Lepisosteus oculatus: one gene and its partners. The protein of the gene in region 1 purifies or fractionates together with the protein of each later gene. This does not show direct contact. Links are inferred from orthologs where the notes say so. Each region holds a gene or a part of one and is shown in the gene's direction. Other genes may lie near its edges.

Region 1 (6,969 bases):
AGTTTAAGTGTACAGTCTCAAAAATGGCATAACCCTTTTTCTTTGAGAAAAGAAAAAAAAAGATATCTATCTCTTAATTGTGTGTATATTTGTAGTTTATGCTGTAACATATTTAGAAGCTTTTTTTATAATGAAAAGGTATATAAAGCAATTCTTTACAATTGCTACTGTTTATAATTTTTTGTAGCGGGTTGTGATATTTTGCACAACTTTTGTAATGTAAAAAGTTTCAGCATGGTGTTTGATTTCATCCTGCAGACAGTAGTAGTCTTTTTGCTTGAGGGTTCGAGTTTAAACCCACAGACCTGCACCCTTTTCCCTAACTTGTATCCAGCAACATCTCATTTCTTGGTACCGAACTGTGTAGATAATACTAAACCAAGTTACACAGAATTTGTAGTGATGAAGAATATCTGAGTGCAAAGATTAAACATACTCTGTTGTATGTCTGGGATGTATCATTTTGTGTTTTGACAGATGTACGAGACATGTTCCAAGTGACTGAAGACAAAAGCGACTGCTTAGACAAAAATGATCTTAAGTAGTGTGCTTGTTACATGTTTTCTGAGTAACTACAGCAATTTACCAAGAGATATTTTGTAAACTATATAGTATGTCTTGCGCTTACTATACATTTTGTTAGTAATAAAAGGAAAATTGATTTTTTTTTAAAATATCTCAACCTTACCATTAATTTGTTTAGGAACAAGTAATAGGTTTATTCCATGCTGAAAAAAAGAAGAAAGAAAACAACTTTTCGGCCGTAGAACCTTCTTGAAGTTTTCTTTCTTCTTTTTTTCAGCATGGAATAAACCTATTACTTTTTCCTTTGCAGCCTACGCATGCTGACGCAGCTACCTACCTGAATTAATTTGTTTACCCTCGTTTTAGCATTTGAACATAGTGCCCGGTCATATTTAGGCTTTGCATTCTCATGTCCATCAAAGCCTTTTGCAAGGGACTTGCCTTCTGCTGGAGAAAAATATTTGAGAAAATACTGAATTATCAGGAGTGAGAAAGATGTACATGCAGTTTCTCCAACATACTGTTTTTGATACTTTAAATTGAGTCCATGTTGTGTGCTCTCAAGATTTTAAATAGGTCTTCTGTTGCTTTAATTCCACAATTATTGTTGGTCTAAATAAAATAATGGAAAATCAGTGCCAATATTTTTAAGTGTTTAGTGTTGTCTCACTACAGTCTGGTCAAATATTTGTGTATAAGCTAGGCCATTGGCCGTAGATGTTAGCTCCAGGCCTTAGTCTGTGTAACATTTTTTCTTTGTTTTCTTTCAGAGCGTTTTGTTAAACCTGCTGTAATTTCTTTCGTATAAATAAAACTTGTAAATTTGTCATAAAAAGCTTCATCCTGTCTGCCTTAACTAGTTTCCTATATTACAGCAAAATTCCCAGTGTAGGTTTTTATTTTTGTCTTAAGCCAGCAGCCATATCACCCTGCAACTCACAATTGGCAACCCACTGAAGCTCAGCAGGTGTGAGCCTGGTCAGTACCTGGATAGGAGACCACCTGGGAAAAACTAAGGTTTCTGCTGGAAGAGGTGTTAGTGGGGCCAGCAGGGGGCGATCACCCTGTGGTCCATGTGGGTCCTAATGCCCCAGTGTAGTGATGGGGACACTATACTGTAAACAGGTGCCGTCTTTCGGATGAGACGTAAAACCAAGGTCCTGACTCTCTGGTCATTAAAAAATCCCAGGGTGTTTCTCGAAAAGTGTAGGGGTGTAACAACCTGGCCAAATTTCCCATTGGCCCTTACTAATCATGGCCTCCTAATAATCCCCATCTATGAATTGGCTACATTACTCTGCTCTCATCCTCACTGATAGCTGATGTGTGGTGAGTGTTCTGGCACACTATGGCTGCCGTCGCATCATCCAGGTGGATGCTGCACATTGGTGGTGGTGGAGGGGAGTCCCCATTACCTGTAAAGTGCTTTGAGTGGAGTGTCCAGAAAAGCGCTACATAAGTGTAAGCAATTATTATTATTATAAGACTGTACTGGTTCTGCACTTTAAGTATCTTCAATGAATGTGTATGTGAATTTTACTGCCAGATAGTAAAATCAGAGGGCAGTGTCTTTGCTGTTAACAATAGATGCTATAAGCGTTTTCAGCCACTTCTTTTCGAGCATTAAAAAGACATTTTAAAGTAGCTTTATGTGTCATTTAAGTAACGCTTGGAATCGAGGACGGTAGAATCAAGTTCACAAAGTATGAAAACAGCAGCTTTATAATGATGAAATCGAAAATACAAAGGCGTACTGTATCTGCCTCTGCCAATTGCTTTATTATATATTTTCCATTGTGTAGGAAGTCAACATCGGAAGATTCACATCCAATTACTTTACCGTTACAAACCCGGTGGATGTCATAAGAGAAGTATTAAATCTAGACTTCAATCTGTTTCGGGTAGCGATGTTTATTGAATTTTACGTCTGTGGGAAATATACGATCTCTTAAAAAATAAATCACTCTGGTGAGCTCAAACCTACAGTATGTCTGTTTACAAAGCTGATTCAAAATCCCCAAGTATTCAATTTTTGCGGTATTTTGTTATTACGGTTTTTTTTTGCGATAATCCATTCATACAGCAATAGCAATTTCTACAACTGGTACCCTTTCATCATTCTGTCATCACCAAGATTTTTAAAAACAAGGTAATGTTGTACTCGATTCTGTCACAATTTCCTTGTTAAAACAATTTTGGGGCGGTGGTAAACATACAGTTCGTAAACATACCACCATGATACAAAGAGAGTATCACCATGATATAGCGGCAGTGTTTGGTGCAATTGCGTTTTAAAAAGCAATTTAACCAGAGTTCTGCACTCTCGTTTAGAAATCTAGAAAGATCATATGAACTACAGCACCGTGCTTATTTATATAAATGGAATTTAATAATAAAATTGTGACTTAATCTCCACCAGTCACTGAGCTTCGTGTTCTAAATGTATCTTTATTATGACCTCTAAAGCACACAAAAGTTAATTAACCTAAGAACCTTTAGCCTTAACCAGTTGTCATCTTTGCGACAATGGGCTCTGTACCCAAATCGCAGTTTCCTACAAATTGTGTGTTAGCAGAGCTGTTATCTGAAGTCTAACCTGCACATAAGCCGTCACATCCGTGAAGATGACTATGAAATACACTTAATCAACTGCGATCTACTGCTTTCAGACTCACCTTGGTTTTATTTTTTATAAACAGTTTAGGCAATACCAAATTCGTGTTAATCACTTTGAGGAGAGATCTAAAAAGATGTAAGAAATACATGTTCAAGATATGTCTGTATCACCAATGCTCCAATACTTGATATTAATCAACCATCATTGTTATCAGTAACGATGAAGATGGCTAAGGTCTTCAATTGTGCAACTAAACTCCAGTCCTGTAGATGGCGCTATTAAATAATCGTACCGTTCTTTGGCGCTGTGCTCACGTCTTTGACTTCAGGGCAAGCTTGCCCATATGTTTGGCGGGGGATAGCTTCAGAGGAAGAGAAGCAGCCTAGAGAAGCATGGGGTTTGTTTTCCACTGAGCGACTGCGGGAGTGAGGCGACTTTTACGGAGAAACAAACAGACCAGGACTGTACCCTTTTGCTCCAGCCTTTCGTTATAAATACAGCCGTGCGAGTGAAAACTGAATCGCAGTTTTTATTTTTATTTTTTTTTTGCCCTCTGCTTGATCGGATTTCTCGCTGTCGTTTGCGGTTTAGGCCGGCTTTTCTCGGCGATCTGCGGGGCTGTTTCTGTGTCGTTGTTTTTTAACGGGGGGTCAGGCGCGGCACTTTTCCTTAAGACGATGGTTTTGCTGAAAAACGTCTCCCCTCCCAGTGAAGGCGTCAGGCACCAGCAGGCTGAAACGACGGCAGTGCTGGATGGCAAGGGGCTGGGCTCTGGCACCCTCTACGTTGCAGAAAAGTAAGTGCGCTATCACACGGGTTAGGACTGGTCAACTGAAAACTCTTTTTCGCCTGCCCCTTTGATGTGTGTAAAAAGCGAAAGAGAAACCTGTTTAGGGTGGGAAAAAAAGTTCTTGCCTCATCTCACCCTGCTTCTCCAGATGATCAACAGGTATCTGAGGGGGAAAGGCGACACTGCCCGGTGTGCGATGTCAAACACGTGACAGCGCGCTACACCTGTGATGGCCAAGCACCCCTCGCCAGAAGGAAAACCCCCAACTCTTTCCGATGCGTCGTTTTGTACGATCGTCCTCTCCGATTGTGCCAGCAGTAAAAATGCATCATCAGCAGATGCCAAAAAAACTTTCTCCGGAGTCTTTCTGGAAAAAAAAAACAACATTTGCGAGTCCGCAGACAAAGATCGCGTCATCGTGGTTTTGCCTGTGATTTCGGACTACTCCTATGCAGTTGGCGCGATTGAGACGTTGGGGGTGTAGGGAGTGACTCGCGTGTGCACCCACCTAATCCGCCACCGTCTTTCTTTTCGTGTGTTTTGTGACAGCCGCCTGTCGTGGTTTGACGTGTCGGGAAAGGGCTTCTCTCTGGAATACCCCTCCATCAGCCTCCACGCCATCTCCCGCGATCTCAGCGCCTATCCCCAGGAGCATCTGTACGTCATGGTCAACGCCAAGCTGAGCGGTGAGGCGGCGTGCTGTTGATGAATGATGACGGGACAGCTGACACTAAGAAAAAAAATCTTTAGAAAGGGACGATCGACTGGCAATCGTAAGGATTACAGTTGAAGTTGGGGGCTGGAATAAAGTAGTTTAGTGATTTGCTCCGATTTGAACAGTTATGAGGAGGAAAAACGCTCCCTCTTGAGAATACATTGGATTCAATAAACCTATTTCTCCAGGCCCATCAATATTCTACATAGTGTAAAAAAAATACAGTACAGCCTTGTCCTGCCCAGCAAGCACATGAAGGGCTAAAGTGTGCCTGTTCGGTTCTGGATAACATACTCGTGCATTCATTGCGGCTGAACTAAATTGGCACCAGCATGGCACTCTTTTTTGTAACTACCTGAAAACGGTTTGAAGGGAAGATCGGGGAATAAACCCTGTGCAGTAAAGGAAAAGAGTTGTGGTCTTTCATGCCACCTCAAATGCTGATTATTGACTGAACAGGCTTTTGAATATGCAGGCGAGTCCAGCCTTGATGGCCATATCGCAGGTAGATATGTGGAGCTGTGGAGGCATCGCAATACAGCAGTGGGTGGCTTGGGCGGCTGCGTTTATTATTCTGTGCTCGTCAATGCTGCCTTGCACTCTGCTGTAGAGTTATTCTCCTGGTGTTCCAAGCATGAGAGAAGCAAAGAGACCGTTCTTTCTTCCCTTAGGGTCGTACAGTCTCAAGCTGTCTTGAACAGCCCCGCACAGATTTCCACCCCGTTCTATAGCCCTCTGCTGAAATAAAAGCGCATTGTTACTCCCAGGGACTCCTGCCAGTCCCCACTGCAGAAAGACATTTAAATAAGCCTGGAAGCTGCTGAGCACAGATAAGTAGCACCCAGCTATAACATAAAATTAAAATGAATGTGATGCTACATTTTAGACAGCTGGTATTGTACTTTGTGTTTGCTGCCATAAAGTGCCGATGTTTATTTTGGTGTAGCTGGAAAAGATTTGTTTAGGAACTAGCAAATGCCTAGTCTGGTTACTTCCACAAGGATACAGGAGATTACCACTAGGAAATCTGAAGAAACTTCGCTTTTCTCTTTTTGACTGGATATTATTTCACTCTTAGTTTATTTAAATGAAAGCAGGACTTCTTTGTATTCAAATATAAAGAACTTACAAAAGCTTCACATTGACTTTGCACTATCTTTGGGTACCTACTAGCAACAATCAGCAGGATGTTACCTCAGTGAACAGCGAAGCAGTGCCATAAATCATAAGGCCTTGTACATACCTTCCACTGAGGGGCACAGACTGGCAAGGGCTCTCTCTAAAGCCTGCTACATGAGCCTTTTACAAGCTACAGTAACAGTGCCTTTCATCTAAATCCAGCCCCAGCCCCCACTTTTGGCTTAATGCCATCTCTGCCATGTTGGTGTTCACTTGGTCAAACCCATTGAAGTTAACATGAATTATACTGGATCACGGGCCAGGAAGTTTGTTTCTTTTTTGCTTGTTTGGCCTGTTAGCTGTGCATCTATGGTGGTGGAATCTGAGCTGTGCAAAGCCGGTCTCCCAGAAACAAGAGTCCCAGTAGTCTGAGAGGCTTGCCTGCGGTACTGTTCTGTGAAAGTTCTTAAAGTGACGCTTCCCTTTCCAGGCACTGGAGAACGGCACTCCTTAAACCAAGTTTTAATTTTACCTGAACCATTTGGAAGGACAGACGGACCAAAATGATCATGCTCTAGGCTCTCTGCGCAGTGCAAGCCAGCAAGTACAATTAGACCCCTTTGGCTCTCTCTCTGTAGAGGAAGCATGGCCCTGGCTTGATTTTCTCATCCCTTTCTAGATGAAGAGGTGACAGAATCTCAGATGGAGGAGAAAGCAGCTGAAGGAGAGGATGAGGACGATGAGAGCGATGACGACTCGGACCCCATCACAGAAATCCGATTTGTTCCCAGTGATAAGATGGCGTGTGAGTTTGGAAAAATCTTCCCTTCTGTGCTGTGCCGGGTGCTCAACCTGTCAGTACGTATGATAGCCTACGTAGTTGTCAGTGTTTGTAATTTGTTTTTTGGGGGGTAAAAAGTTTTTGTGTTTTTCCCTGAGCAGATTAATTTGTGTATAGTCCCAGCTGGTGTGCTTTATAACTTTAGTTTACAGTAAACGGCAAATACCATGTAACTGTTAGACTATGGAAGGAGTTTTTGAAGGATTTACGATTGAGTAAACAGGGTGAAAGGTGTACAGGGTAGGATGCTTTAACAAAGATGAGAAAAGCTAATATATATGCTGAAAAGCTAATATTTACACTGAAGACTAAGGTGGTAGGGAAAAAAATGCTGAGGAAAATAGTCAGAAGGTTGAAACTAG
Region 2 (6,969 bases), about 27 Mb from region 1:
GGAAACTGAACAGTCCCAGCTTTGTGTTGTTTAATTCAAAATACTCCACAGTGACCTTGAGTATGCAGATTTGTAGAATTACATTTGCTTCTTCAAATAAAGGAATAAAAATGCAGCTCTGTGACCTATTGCAACCCAACGCATACATCACCAGTAAATACAGGTTCATTTGCATTTCATAGTGGAGTTCTGAGTTGCACGTCGTGTTCCTCAAGTGTTTGTTATATCATTTTTTTCCCTAGCTCTTGACATGTACTCAGGTCGAAAGCCTGCTTCAAAGGTGGGAGGGTTAGGATAAATTAACAGTTCTTTGGTGCTCTCTTGTGGATACCAGGAATACTACATGGCTTTGGTCACTAAGATTACAGCTTGTTGACAAATTTCTTGTGGCACAGCTTTTAGCATTACTCCTGCTCCTGAGGTGATATCTGTTTCGAGTTTTGTATGTTATCTACATGTTCAATACAGTTTCCTCCAGGTGCTCCGGTTTCTTTACGCAGTCCAGAGACATACTGGTAGGTTAATTTGCTTCTGAGAAATTAGCCCTGGTGCAAGTGAGTATGTGTGTGTATCTGTGTGTGCTCTGTGATGAACTGGCCTCCCATCCAAGGTGTACCCCACCTTTTGCCCACTGCTTGCCAGGTTAGGCTCCGACTGCCCCATAATACTGAATTGGAAGAAGCAGTTAGAAAATGGATGGATGGTTTTGTTAACCAACTCACTGTAGAACCAATCAGCTTCAAAAATGGGCTGACTGGAACTGGATGGACATTTTTTCTAATTTAATTCTCATTTACTGAAACCATTTCCTGAGTTACAAAAAACGCTAACACATAAGTACAGTTCCCACCCACTAGGCTGATGGGTAACAGCCATTTTGTACCAGCAAACCCCACTGCACAACAGATCAGACAGAGACATAAGACACTGATTAAGAAATTGAACTAAGGAGGAACTTAATTGTGACCAGATCATTCAGCCCATAGTGGAATATAGTCAGGGCACTGGGGTTAATTTAAATTAAGGGTTAAAAGCTCTACTTTTACAGACAGTGTCATGGGATCTCTATTGACATCACATACTGTAGTCAGGACCCTGGTTTAACATCTTATTCAAAAGACTGCAGCAACAAAAAACATGGCACTGTCTCTGTCACTATCTCTTTGCAATGCGGTGACCAGATCAGTACATAATATTCTAAATTAGGTCTTATTAGTGTATGATACAAATGTACCATAATATCCATTGATTTAAATTGCTTTTAACTACATATTCTGTGTTTGTGTTTCCTCACTTTGCCTAAGAGGTGTAAATGATGTGTCAATATAAATACTTAAAGCAGTTTCATATGTCTTTTCAAGCTCAGTGTTTCCTATTTTGTATCTATAATTTACGTTTTTGCAACCGGCATACAATACTCTGCACTTGTCTACAATAACATTATCTGCCCGGTGTTAACCCAGGCTTAAATTACATTAAGAAAAGTCCTTCTACAGTATTTATTAATTCTTCTGGTTTTTTTTATCATCTTCACACTTCAATAGTTCACTGACTATACCAGAATCTTGATACAAATTAGGAACCGCAGTAATCCAAGTACAGATCCCTCAGGTACTCCATTAATTACATCCCCCCAGTGATCTCTGCTGTCTTATATTCACTGATCAGTTCTCAGTCCAAGTGGTTGCATACCTAGCCCCTGTAATTTGATAATGAATCTTTTATTTGGAACTTCAAAAATCTGAAAAGCTAAACATATTGTTTAAAATGCAATAACCAGATGAAAAACTGCCTATTCGCCGAACATTACTTGTTTTTTCGTACTTCGAAAGCAGGTGGATGCCGCTGTTTATCGCTCAAAGGCCTGGCTGCACGGGAAGCTGTTATTCTTGTCATAACGAGATTGATTCGTCTATCACATGATCGATTACTGTCAAAATTGTTACGTAAAAGTACACAGTTGAGAATGATAAATAATTGTTACAAATATCGCCACATGGTCCATTATACTCATGCACACTGCGAACAAAGCACTTAACTCCCGAATTACTGATTAAGTGTATAACATGAATATTAATTTGGTAAAATATTTACTAATGTGTTTAAAAATGATGTATCTTTCACTGTACATGAGCATGGTATATGGTATAACTTAATGCTATTTAGCTAGCTCTTGGACATAAGTAATACAAAGAGAAAAAAACAACAACAACAATACAATTGTGTAGCAAAAGAAAGACAGAGACAACAGGCAGTGTGCAAAAAACAACAACAGACGATGTGCAAAAAAACAACAACAGGCAATGTGCTAAACAACAAAAAGGTAACAGGTTATGTGCAAAAATATGCATTAACAGAATAAAATAAAGGGATAGAAAATATGGGGAGTGAGCTTTTGACATGTATGGTAGAGGTAGATTTTCAATGTGTGTTTGGGTTTTTGGTAAGAAAGAAAGAAAGGAAGAAGGCACTGTGAGGTTCAGATCATAGGTGAGAGGTGAGGTGAGAGTGAGAGTGAGAGAGGCTGGGAATTGAACAGTTTGATAGTGCGGGGGTAAAAACTCTCTCTGAGTCTGGTAGTCCGGGCCCGAATGCTCTGGTACCGTTTTCCAGATGGTAGCAGATCATAAAGTCTGTAGCTGGGGTGTGTGGGGTCTTTGATCATGCTTAGAGCTTTCCTCAAGCACCGCTGTCATAAATGTCCTGGATAGATGGGAGGGTAACCCCAGTGATGGACTGGGCAGTTTTCACCACCCGCTGTAGGGCTTTGCGGTCAGCAGCACTGCAGTTGCCATACCACACTGTGATGCAGCCTGTCAGTGTGCTTTCTGGAGTGCATCTGTAAAAGTTAGTGAGGATCTGGGGACATATCTTAGCCTTCCTCAACCGTCTTAGGAAGTACAGGCGCAGTTGCGCTTACTTGATCAGTAATTCTTTGGAATATACATGAAACTAAACTCTTGGATAAACATTTTTAAATAATAAGTATTCAAGTTAATCGTTTTTAGGAATAAAAATCAAAATCGTGACATGTTTTATTTGTATAAGACCCTGTAGAGGGTCGACGTTAGCTCTGCAGTACTCTATCTGCACTTTGTGATGATTATATGCGGAAAGGGGCGGCAAATCAAATGGTAACCAAGCAACCGGTACTCGCGCGAGAGCGAGGCCAGCGGAGGCAGGGCTGGTGCAGAGGGGGGACCTGGAAGCGGAAGCACGTGGTGGATGGACCTTGGCAGTTCTGGCTCATTCATTCGCGGGTCTGGATCGGGGGAAAAAAGAGGAGAGTGAGCGTGTCAGCAGGGTAAAGTTGACACCTTTTCGGCAGGGAGGACTGGAGTGGAGAGGGTTGCTGGAGGTGGATTCGGAAATCGGGCTTGGCACCTTGTTGTATGTGGAACCTAAAATCCGGAGCCAGGAGCAATCGAGGAGAGTAAAGAACGGAAATCCAGTTCGTTGGTGTTAATTGATATAAGCAGCAGCAGCCGCGTGTGAATGAATACTACAGCTATGATCAAGGAAAATCGCTGGAAAATACCTCCCAATGCCCCGGCTTGCATGGAAAAACATCTGGACTCAGTCCAGTACAGAGCAGGTAAATCATTAATTACGTGTTTAATTGGCGTGTCGTCTGTGGGTTATACATGGCGTGCATGTGGCCTGTTTGATCTCGGGTCTTTAATTGTATCGGTGAACCGGTCAAAATAACGTTTTACCTGACACTCTGTTTTCGTATGCCATTAGTGGCTGTATGTTTTATTTTTAATGAAAGCCACGCTATCCGTTCAACTGTGCATTGAAGGAGCACAGGAAACATAGTGATATCAAAGTTCTCGTAGTAGCAACCTGTTGTACATTACCGAGTAACCGCCGTGTGTCTGAACGTTTATGCCGCCGTTCACAATGTCTCTTACTATCTGGCAGGAGCCGCAGGTTATCTCGGAATGCGATCTTTCGTTAAAACTCTGCGAGACCACAAACCCGGGTAGTCGGCGGCGGTAGAAGCCATACAGCGTGACTGCTGTGTTTGCGCAGGCCCGCCCGGCGGTCCGGAGAGCTGTCCCGTCGTGTCGGCCAGCGTAGTGTGAAAACGAGCGTGGTTCTAGTGCTTTTGTACGATCCGAGTGCCCGGTACAGAAATTTGCTTCCTAGCTGGGCATAACCGCAGATATAAGTGCAATCGGAAGAGCCTATATTTTGGAACGTGTCAGCTGTTGATGGGGAGGGCTTTCTTTTTCTTCTTTTTGAGACAAAAAGACCTCATTTTGTTTGCTAGGTGTTTCCTCCCCCAGGGTGCCGGGGGGAGAAGGGGGGACTGTGGGGTGTTGCATATCTAGGTGACGGGATAGGGACAGAGGGCAGCAGGCTACAGGCAGCTGAGAACGGGACAGTGAGGAGACAGGGGTGCTCTGAAAGGGATTACGGGCAGAGGAGTGGATTGATAGGTCCATTTCCTGTCTTTAATTCAGTACGTGCTTAGGCAGATGCATCTGGGTATAAAACATCAATTAAAAACGTAATTGTTCTATTAGTAAAGGAGTGTGGCTTCCATTAGGAGATATTGCCTCAAGGCAGGTAGACGTCAGTACTTTCTCAGAACTAAACCTTTCCCTGGTACGTCTACATAAGAGAGGTTACACTTATTTGGAAAATGTAGGCTTTTGGTTGCTGAAACCCGATCAATCTGAGGGTCTTTACCAGCCATTTCTTGAAATAAACCACAGCTGTGTGGCTGGCCTTAAAGAATTGCCTCCCTTTCTCTATTTTAAATGCTCTTTCTCGTAGTTTCTGCTGGTGTGCTCTTCCTTGTGGAGCAGTGACCCATTTTCCCACAGTAGCTGGCTGATAGTTCTCCCTGGAGTGCCTCTGCCCTGAACGCTGTGGCGTTTGTTTTTCTCTCCTCCAGATGGCTCCCTGCTGCTCAGTGCCTCCAGCCTGATGGGGCGCTGCTGGCTGGGCTCCATCTGGGTGTTCAAGGACCCCCAGCTGGCGCCGAAAGAGGGGCACTGCAGCGCCGGGGTGCAGACCGAGGCCGGCGTGGCGGACGCGAAGTGGGTGTCCGAGCGGAGTATCCTCGTGGGCTCGGACTCCGGTGAGTTTCCTCGTTGTTCTGGTTGGAGTGGCAGAGCAGTAACCAGGGCCAGCTGGGCTCAGCACTGGAGATCAGCCTTTGTCGTGCTCTGAGTGTATGGGAGGGTGGCTAGAAGCAATGTATTACTTTTAAACCAGCAAAGAGAAAATCTGTTTGTATGTTATAATATATTTGATATTTAAATACCATATGTTATTGGCTTCATTGGGTGAAACTGTTGGGTGCAACAGCCTTAAGTGTTAGGAAGGTGAACGCTAGGGGGTAAGGTGTTTGGTGAATGCTAGGGGGGTAATTGAAGAAGTGTTGGTTTGCAGGAAAATGGCAATTGAAAATGCAACTGCTACATTGTTACTTCTCATTCCCCATATAGTAGTGATGGTGCATCTCATTCCCCATATAGTGGAGAATTTCACCCCCTTGTAAATTATCTTCCTACTCTCTGAAGCTTGAAGCCAGTTCTGATAGTGAAACATGAAAGCGATTTGTTCTGTCGTTTCTGTCGAGGAGAGCGCTGATGATTCAGTGAGTGGCTGGTTGAGGTTTTGTTATAGTTCGATTGTCCTCTTAATGTTCTGGTAAGGGAGTGGGAACCCAACTGGGCTTCTGTGACGAGAGAGAGAGGGAACTAGTTATCCCTGCTATGACTGAAGTGTCTGGGGCGACTGCTGTGCTGCTGTGAGTGTGTGGAGAGCTGACACACTGTGGTCTCTTCCATGTCTGCCTGTCTGTTGTCCCAGGCGCGGTGGAGCTGTGGGAGTTGGCTGAGGACGAGTCCCTGATCGTCAGCAAGTTCTGCCACCACCACCACGACGACATCGTCACTACCGTCAGCCCGCTGGCCCAGGGGACACAGGCGGTCAGTGGCAGCATGGACTGCTGGTCAGTGTGCTCTTCACTGCCTGCTCTCTGAAAGCCAGGAGCTCGTGCCTGCTGCCCTGTGCTGGGCCTTAATCCATCGAGCAGGACCATTGTGCTGCGTTGTGGCAGAAAAATGGAAATGTAGGAATTGATAAAAGAGTAAAACTTTGAAATAGACCTCTGTAAATCAGATTTTTTTACTTGCAGTGTTGACATCCATATTAGGACAGTGGATATGACCTCCTGTTTGTCTCCTGATCCCTTACACACACACATTCTGTTGTGTACAGGGCCACACAGAATGCGAGTACTCATTGTGTTTGTATATATAACCACCAGAAATAATTAGGTTAGAAAATGTTCTGTTTGGACTCTGATGTTCGGTTAGATTACAGTGTTAATGTGACTGACTATGGCAGGCATCTCCAACCCTGGTCCTGGAGAAACCCATTTTAGTTCGTTTTGTAGGTCAGGAACACCATGAAGATCAGTTAAGATCTGATGTGTAGATCGGTTAGGCAAGTAGGTTTTTCAGGTGAGAGACTTCTGGGCAGAATTTGGTCTCCAGTGATCTCTAAATTGCTCCATTTAAAAGATCACCTGATTAAGTGATCACAGTTAGATTGTCCCAGGTCTTCAAAAATCCATGATTTAATGGCCTACTTTAAAACCTGGTGGTGTACAAAGGGAATGTGGACATTAACTGTGTATGTCCTTTGAAACCTAATTAGCCTCAAGTTTTCAAATGTTAGCCGACTAGCTATTCTATAATGCCAATTTAAAATTGTAGGTCGTTATTACTGATTATTAATAGGAATTTTGTAATAAGATTAAGGTGGTTGTATTTATAAGACTGTACCCTTTAATAATATGAATACTCATTGGTTACGATGACTTGATTGAAATTGGGCGTGTCATGTATTTTGAGGTATCTGGATGTTTCAATTCAGTGTTATGTGTTAATGACTTTTGAAATGTTTGAGCACTTTGGTAAGTGCTTGAGATGATGAAGATAAGTG
Region 3 (6,969 bases), on another chromosome or scaffold:
CGTTGGTGCTGGTTTTGAATCGTTTAAAAACATGAAGCTTCATTACACTTTTTCTGCATGACTTAAATAAACACTCAATAAGAATTTTAATGATCATTTTCCCTAGATGATTCCAATGTGGGCAGCTATTGAAATGATCTGACTACCCCTGAAAGCTGTGTATTAGTCATTTTCAAAGTCACTTTATTTCCAGAGTGAGTTATTTGTCCTAGATTTGATTCCAGACCAGGGCACTATCTGTACTGCGTTTTCCACGTGCCTGTGTGATTTTTATTTTTTTTTAGGTGCTCTGGTTTCTTTGCTCTTTCCTAAAACATGCTGCCTTACTGTAAGTGTTGTCTCTACACTTTCCCTGTGCACACGCAAGTTTGCCCTGCTGTGGGCTGGTGCTCTGTCCTGGAGCAGTCCTGCCTTATGCCACCTCTGAGAAGTTCCCCTCCTCCAGACACCATGGTGTTTCTGCTGGGCAGCTTGTTTTATTTTTCCTTACCAAGGGATAGGCACTTTTCTGGTATGGAATGGGTGTGAACTGATCTAAAGAGTATGATGGGGGGGCAAAACAAGCAAGTTTGGTAAACCTATAGCAGTTTTTCAGATTGCTTAACGTGCATCTTAAACTGAGCATGGATCTTTATAGCTTACACCCCTGTGTAAGGAAAAGTGCCCCTGTTCTGTTGTAAACGCACTTCCCTTCAGTTGTCACTTTTCGCCCCCGGTTCATGATTCAGTGTTGATTCTGAAGATGTCCAGCTGGTTGACTTTGTCATCGACTTCAATTACTTTAATCATTTTCAGTACTTGAATTGGACCCCTTGTGATCTTTGTTCAAGACTAAAAAGGTTCAGTTCTTATAGCCCGAGGAAGACATTCTTTTGTGATCAGAAATGTACATGTACTGTATGGGGCATCACTCCTCTGGACTGATTTCAGAATAGCAGTGTGTTGCAGAGTTTCTGGTGTAAAATAAAATTATCGTGGTGATTTCAGTCTTCTGCTTCCTCCAGAATGTTCCAGCCCCCTGAAGGAGAGGAGCAGTATTTTATTGTAATACAATGGCACTTGTCTGGGCTGTGTGGGTCAGGACCTCAGAGGTCCGCCTAAGAATGTGGTTTGAATCCAGAAGTATATGGTGTTATCCATAGAGATAATGTGTGCATTTTTCTTGCTATTAAATTACCCATACTTCCCCTTGGTTTAAAAAAATGTTTAGTTTAGGAGATACACAAGTCTTTCTTATAGTGCTTTAACATAGAAACCTTCAAGAGCAACTTTTTTTCTTCCTTAAAAAGTCATTTAAGGATATTTCTGTTTTGCACTGTAGTTTACAGAGTGCTACAGAACATGATTTGTACTTGCATAGGGAGTAATTACTGGTTTTAAGTGACCGCACAAGAGTAAGAAGGATACCAGCACTGAGTGCAACACTGAAGTCCATAATGCAGGCTTTCTTGATGAACACCATCCACCCAATATCACTGTAAAAGCTTTGCTGGGAAGGCAGGATGGCTGTGAATGACTTACTGTACAGTATATATTGAAGTGCATTTTATTTTGCCTCCAACACATGCTCAGACTTAACCTTGAAGTTACCCTCTTGTTGAGGGTCACAGTAGCGAACACCAGGTCTGAAAAAGCATAGCAATCTGTCGTCGTGTGGCGTGTGTGATCTGGACCACAGCTGGCAGCTTGTGTAGCACCTGTAATGTCTCACCAGTAAATAAAAGTTCTCAGGTGCCTTCTAACCCCTATCGCCATGGTCATGGTTCTGGAAGATGGTACCTCAGCAGGTGTGGTTGTGTGGTGTGCTTGAGCACTCGATGCATAAAATATCACAGTACATGTGCTTCTCAAGACGGGGCCATAAAGACGTGTTCTACCTGGAATGGACTGCTGGCTTTCGGACTGGGATTTGGTCATCTTGTCCTCATGATGGCCTGTCCACACTGTGTGACTGTAGCAGGTGCTGCAGTGGAAGACGAGGGTGTCACTTTCATGTCATTCCCTAGCTTTCTCGAGTATTTGAATGATCTCCACTGTAGGGGTGTAGGCCTTTTGGTACTGGATGTAGCATTTATCTTGGCTGTGTAGGTCAGGCACTTGAAAGTACGTGAGACAGCAGCTAGGATTTGGGATTCAACCCCACACACTACATTAATGCCATGCCTTGGACCTGTGGATAGGCAAGAGCCTATCAGTTTCTAAGCTTGCTGCGGGTTTTGGCGAGAGGGAGTTTGACAGGTCCTGCTGTGTAAGATGAGGCTGTCATAGTGATGTCGCAGTCATGGTGTTCACATAATTTCACTGTAACAGGCCCCCTGTACTCTATGAACCCTGTTATACACACAAAAAAATCTCACATTATATTTAATGAATTCTTAATGATGCCTAATTATTTATAAATTGAATACAATGTAATGCATGCAGGATAATGGAAAAAATGCAAGTAGAATGTACTGTATGCTGCGATACTGAATACATGGTATGGTTCGTCAAGACTCAGAACCCAGAAAGGAATTTTTGTCAGTTAAGCAGCTCTTTGCCTTTGCCAGGGTTCATTTAGAATTTGTGAAGACTAAATGTGTGCAATTAGTTACAAGAGTTTAATTATACATGAATGAACACTGCAGCTGGCGGGTGCTGTTAAAATAACATATGTCCTTTTAACCCATCGTGGCCAGGAACACAGTGCAGGAAACTGACCCAGGGACACTTTTTTCAAAAGCTGTTAAAGCTTATTAAGCGAATTTAAATTCAAACGTTCAGCGTGTTCCAAAATATATACCTTTGCTGCCCTGAATTACAAAAAAAGGACTCCGAAAATCTGTTCAAGAACATCTTTATTTTTGAAAGAAGATCATGTCCAATTTCAGACGTTCAGTTCTCGGAAATTTCACCAAAAAAAAAAACCCGAGTTAAACTGCTTATTTGGCCCAGCAAGATAATTCTGCTCGGGAGAAGTGGGCATCCCAAGTTCCACTCGAGACCGTCTACGTGTATTTTCAGTCGAACGGGGTTTGCTCTGCTTCGGCGCCGTGTTCGTTTTGGGGTGACTTCGGTGGCCATCCCTCGCCCCGCTAGGTCCTGCAACACGCGTGTGGGTCGCCCGTACCGGCCGTGACTCATCCCGGAGGTGGGCTCTCATTCGCTCCCGCATCTTCTGCTAGAATAAGCGGAGGGTGCGCTGGCTGTCCTCGTGTATCCCAGAATGCCGCGCTGTCCCGTATCTCCTGCTCAGCCCGCTGGCGCTGGCGGTGACACAGCTGGCGAGCAGAGAGCGGACTGAGCTGCAGCCTCATCAGCCGAGCGGGGGGACACGGGATACCCGGTAAAAAGCTAGCAACTTATCGTATGCAAAAAAAAAAGGGGGATCTGCGGGCTCACGTTGTGTTGCATCGAAAGTGTCAAAGCGAAAACGAGAATTTTTGTAGCTGTGTTTGCAGGAATGAGGTAGGGAAGGGGGCACACTGTACATTTCCTGGGCATGCATCGCCCTGATACTGTATACAGTATGCGCGTCCTGTTTTTTTTTCTCCCCACAAAATAAATCTCTTCGGGCAAATCAGTGCGATTCCTTTTAGATGTGCCAGATTGTGTGTGTGTGTGTTTGCGTGTGCGTTTTTTTTTGTGTGTGCCTGCGTTAACGTCTACGGTGGCTATTTAAATACATCCGTGCACTCGAGGTTGTCGCCGCAGGAAGAAAAATCTGTGGTTGATACTTTGATACATTTAGAAGCTGTGAAGTAGCTGCAGGGAATTCATTTTGCGGAAAAAAGAGACTCCGGTCACTGAGTTTATTTCAATGCGGAGCACTTGAAAAAGTTTTTCTTGTATCCGTTAGGAAAAAAAAATGAAGACGATGTTTTAGCTAATAACGGCAAGGGTTTATAGCTCGTTTGCTCGCTTCAGTATTTTAGTGGCTGAAGTACGCGAGTCGCCGCCTCGGATGTCCAGTGCGACTCTCCTGCTTTCGGTCACTTCAGACCTGACACGACACCCCAGCGGTGCTCTGTGTGTTAGTTCTGCAATGCGGTGGGTGTGGTTTGGATGTAGTAACCGGGAGATGTGAACCTCTGCAGTCACAGCACACTCCACCGCCCCCCCGTCTGACTTGGCATTTTTTGCATCAAACAGAAATACACACCTATATTCTCTGTACGTGTGTGAAAAACGCTCAGTCGTGACAGCCCGTGACCCCCCCACGGCCACTAATACTCCATGCTACCAGTGTACGGTGAAAAAACAAGGGAGCAGTCTGGACGAAATAGCCGGTTATTGGTAAGTCTCCGGGAAACCAGATGGTTTTCATCAAATGAGGGGAAAATCGGCGGAGAGACGGGCGATATTGTAAGTCGCGCTTTGATTAATTTTCCAGCCTCGGCAATACAGTATACTCGTTTGCTTTGATGGAAATGGTTTTTCTGTGTGTTACTCAGCGTTTCACGTAACTAACCTTGGTGTTGCGATTTTATACGGACTTTTTTGTGACTTTTTAACATGCACATTCAAAATCCCTACTGGTTGCTTTGGAAGAATTTTTATTAATTGTATTGCATCGATAACTATTTCATCCTCTTAATTTTTCTAACGCTGGAGTGGATTGCTTGGAAACTAGCGATCAATTACCCGAGATGTGTTTTTTTTTTTAATGAAGGGGAGACTAGAAAAGTGTTAACCTTCAACTGCTAAGTACAGAATATATACAGTGCATTCTGATTTTACTGCAATGATGAGCCTGGCTTCAGGTTAAGAAGGTGAAGTACCTCCTACAACGCAAACCAGAGCGAATAGAGGTCTTCTTTCTGCGAAGTCATTCACAAAACATTTAAATTTTTTGGTTAATGTTTTGTGCAAAAAAAAAAATCGACACGCTTGAACCCAGAAGTTATCTTTACGCCGGAAGCAATGCTGCATTCGATAAAGGAGATGAAATATTTTAAAGTGTTTCTTGTTGTGGATGTCTCTCTTATCTAAGCAGCAAGGGTCTCTTGATCCTGAGGGTCTGGCTAATATTTGTCCTCCTGACAGCTTGCCATTTTGACTTATGGTTTTCCTCCTTTCTTCTCGGGCCCACCCTGAGGCTCGGCAGAAACAACGTGAACTCGCACGTCTGCTCACTAATGACCGTAGACTGTGCCACTGGGCACGGTGGCTGTTCTCCCATGTACTGTCAATTATAAAACATTTCAACTCATCTGAAGTAAGTGGCCATCATAACTACATACGGTGTTGCTAGTGGTCCTCCTCCCGAGAAATGAAGCTATGCCTGTTATATTTATCACAGAGAGAAAGGTCTGAGTGTATTCATCAAATGTACTTTTACAGCACCTAAGCAGGCTGACAGAATGCCCCTGACAAATGTGTTCACAAGGGAGACAAAAACGGCATTAAAAATTAACGGGGCCAGTCTGTGTTGCTGTGGAATTAGATCAAAGACCTTATCTGATTTTTTTTTTCCAGGTATACAGGAAAGAAAAAAATCCAATATCCGGATGGACTTTTATCTTTATAGAAAAAGCCGTAGCGTACTATTAACATGTAATATTAATATCCCATTTTTTTTCCTTTTACTTCGGTTCGTCTAAAAAAAAAATAATTTCCATATCAAGTCCTGCTAAATTGACTATTCTGTAGACCTGCCTATAAATAAATAGGTATTTCAGATCTGTAAGAAATGTTCTACTCATTTACTTAGTATTTCAGGTCTCACCTATTTTTAAGTGCTGCTGTGTTTATTTTCCGTTATAATACGTTTCATTTTGACCTAAATGCTGATGTCACATGGCGGGTATTTCCACAGTCCTTGAACGCTGTGGCAACACAGATGAGAGTAAGTAGTCGAAGGGATAGGGAGAAAAAAAATGAAAAGGCTGAGATCATTAACGAAGAGGGGAATTGCACGGTCAGTTTATTTTTTGGTTTCTTAATCGTTTGCCTTGAACAGATGAAAATGTAAAATGTTCTAAGAATGGGGAAGCTGGAATTTCTGGTGCTTCCCATAGTGCAAAGCTTATAATACAGACTGTAGCACACAGCAAGTCTGGCAAGTCACCGTCACAGACAAGCTTACCGTAGGTGTCAACAAGAATGGGGAAGGTACCTGACTTAATGGACTATTCTGGAATCAGCTCTTAAAAAGGTTCAAATCATCTGCTTTAGATTAAATCAAGATTAAAACATTGTAATTTTAGATCTTATTAGCTAAAGAACACAATTATTTCTAACCAAATATAAGCTAGCACAGCTCTGTTTTTAATTATATTTGTGGCGTATTACAGGATGCTCTCAATAAATCCTGATATAAGAAGGCTGAGTTCTTATATTTAGAATTTAATAAGTAGTTAGAGATGCACGCTGCATCCTGTCAGTTAAGGTTTAGGTTAAAATGTTGCAATCCGACTGGTCGACCATACCAGTGCTGGCCGGGCCCAGCCTTGCTCAGCCTCCGAGATCTAATGAGATCAGGTTACAGAGCGGTAAGGCTGCTGTCTGTCTTCTTTCTTTTGATGATATCATAAATGGAGAAGTTTTAAAACAGCTTTATTGGTTACAATTTAGATTCTCAAAAGCTTAATTAAAGGTGCAGAATGTTTCCACTATTCGTATAATTTTATAGCGTACTGTACATCGGTGTTACATCCTGCATGCTTCTCTGTGTGTGCTCCTAGCAGGTAAAGCAGAAGCAGGAGACTGCAAATTGAGCTGATTGTATTTTAGGAATACTGATGTCGTTCAAACCCTTTAGTTACGGAGCAAGGCTGCATAATAACAAAATTGATGAATAATTACTGTAGGTAAGCTGTAGATCAGAGAGATTTGTCTACAATGTTGTGCTCAGTGTTAATACTGCTAGCTAACTACTTCAGGAAATAGAATTTAATTCCTTGAAAAGGTTTAGTTTACCTTTTCCACCAGGAAGGCATATCTGTGGACAGCATGTGTATGAGAATATGTCTCTTTTAATGTCATCCA

What was found. Proteins that work in one complex are often made in the same cells at the same time.
Region 2: the proteins of clns1a (region 1) and wdr77 purify together in Homo sapiens (affinity purification with mass spectrometry; 6 studies listed by BioGRID and IntAct, with this or other methods). This does not show direct contact. The link is inferred for Lepisosteus oculatus from reciprocal best matches to the Homo sapiens genes CLNS1A and WDR77.
Region 3: the proteins of clns1a (region 1) and epb41l3a purify together in Homo sapiens (affinity purification with mass spectrometry; 3 studies listed by BioGRID and IntAct, with this or other methods). This does not show direct contact. The link is inferred for Lepisosteus oculatus from reciprocal best matches to the Homo sapiens genes CLNS1A and EPB41L3.

What each region holds. Positions count from the first base shown.
Region 1 is NC_090700.1:9,907,958-9,914,926, forward strand, and holds the start of clns1a (methylosome subunit pICln), read left to right. Parts: upstream 1-3,478; 5' UTR 3,479-3,819; coding exon 3,820-3,938; intron 3,939-4,481; coding exon 4,482-4,618; intron 4,619-6,445; coding exon 6,446-6,571; intron 6,572-6,969. UniProt on the Homo sapiens protein: Involved in both the assembly of spliceosomal snRNPs and the methylation of Sm proteins.
Region 2 is NC_090700.1:36,484,436-36,491,404, reverse strand, and holds the start of wdr77 (methylosome protein WDR77), read left to right. Parts: upstream 1-3,190; 5' UTR 3,191-3,495; coding exon 3,496-3,595; intron 3,596-4,906; coding exon 4,907-5,092; intron 5,093-5,829; coding exon 5,830-5,971; intron 5,972-6,969. UniProt on the Homo sapiens protein: Non-catalytic component of the methylosome complex, composed of PRMT5, WDR77 and CLNS1A, which modifies specific arginines to dimethylarginines in several spliceosomal Sm proteins and histones.
Region 3 is NC_090701.1:55,494,754-55,501,722, reverse strand, and holds the start of epb41l3a (band 4.1-like protein 3a), read left to right. Parts: upstream 1-3,207; 5' UTR 3,208-3,325; intron 3,326-4,086; exon of another isoform or gene 4,087-4,275; intron 4,276-6,969. UniProt on the Homo sapiens protein: Tumor suppressor that inhibits cell proliferation and promotes apoptosis. Modulates the activity of protein arginine N-methyltransferases, including PRMT3 and PRMT5.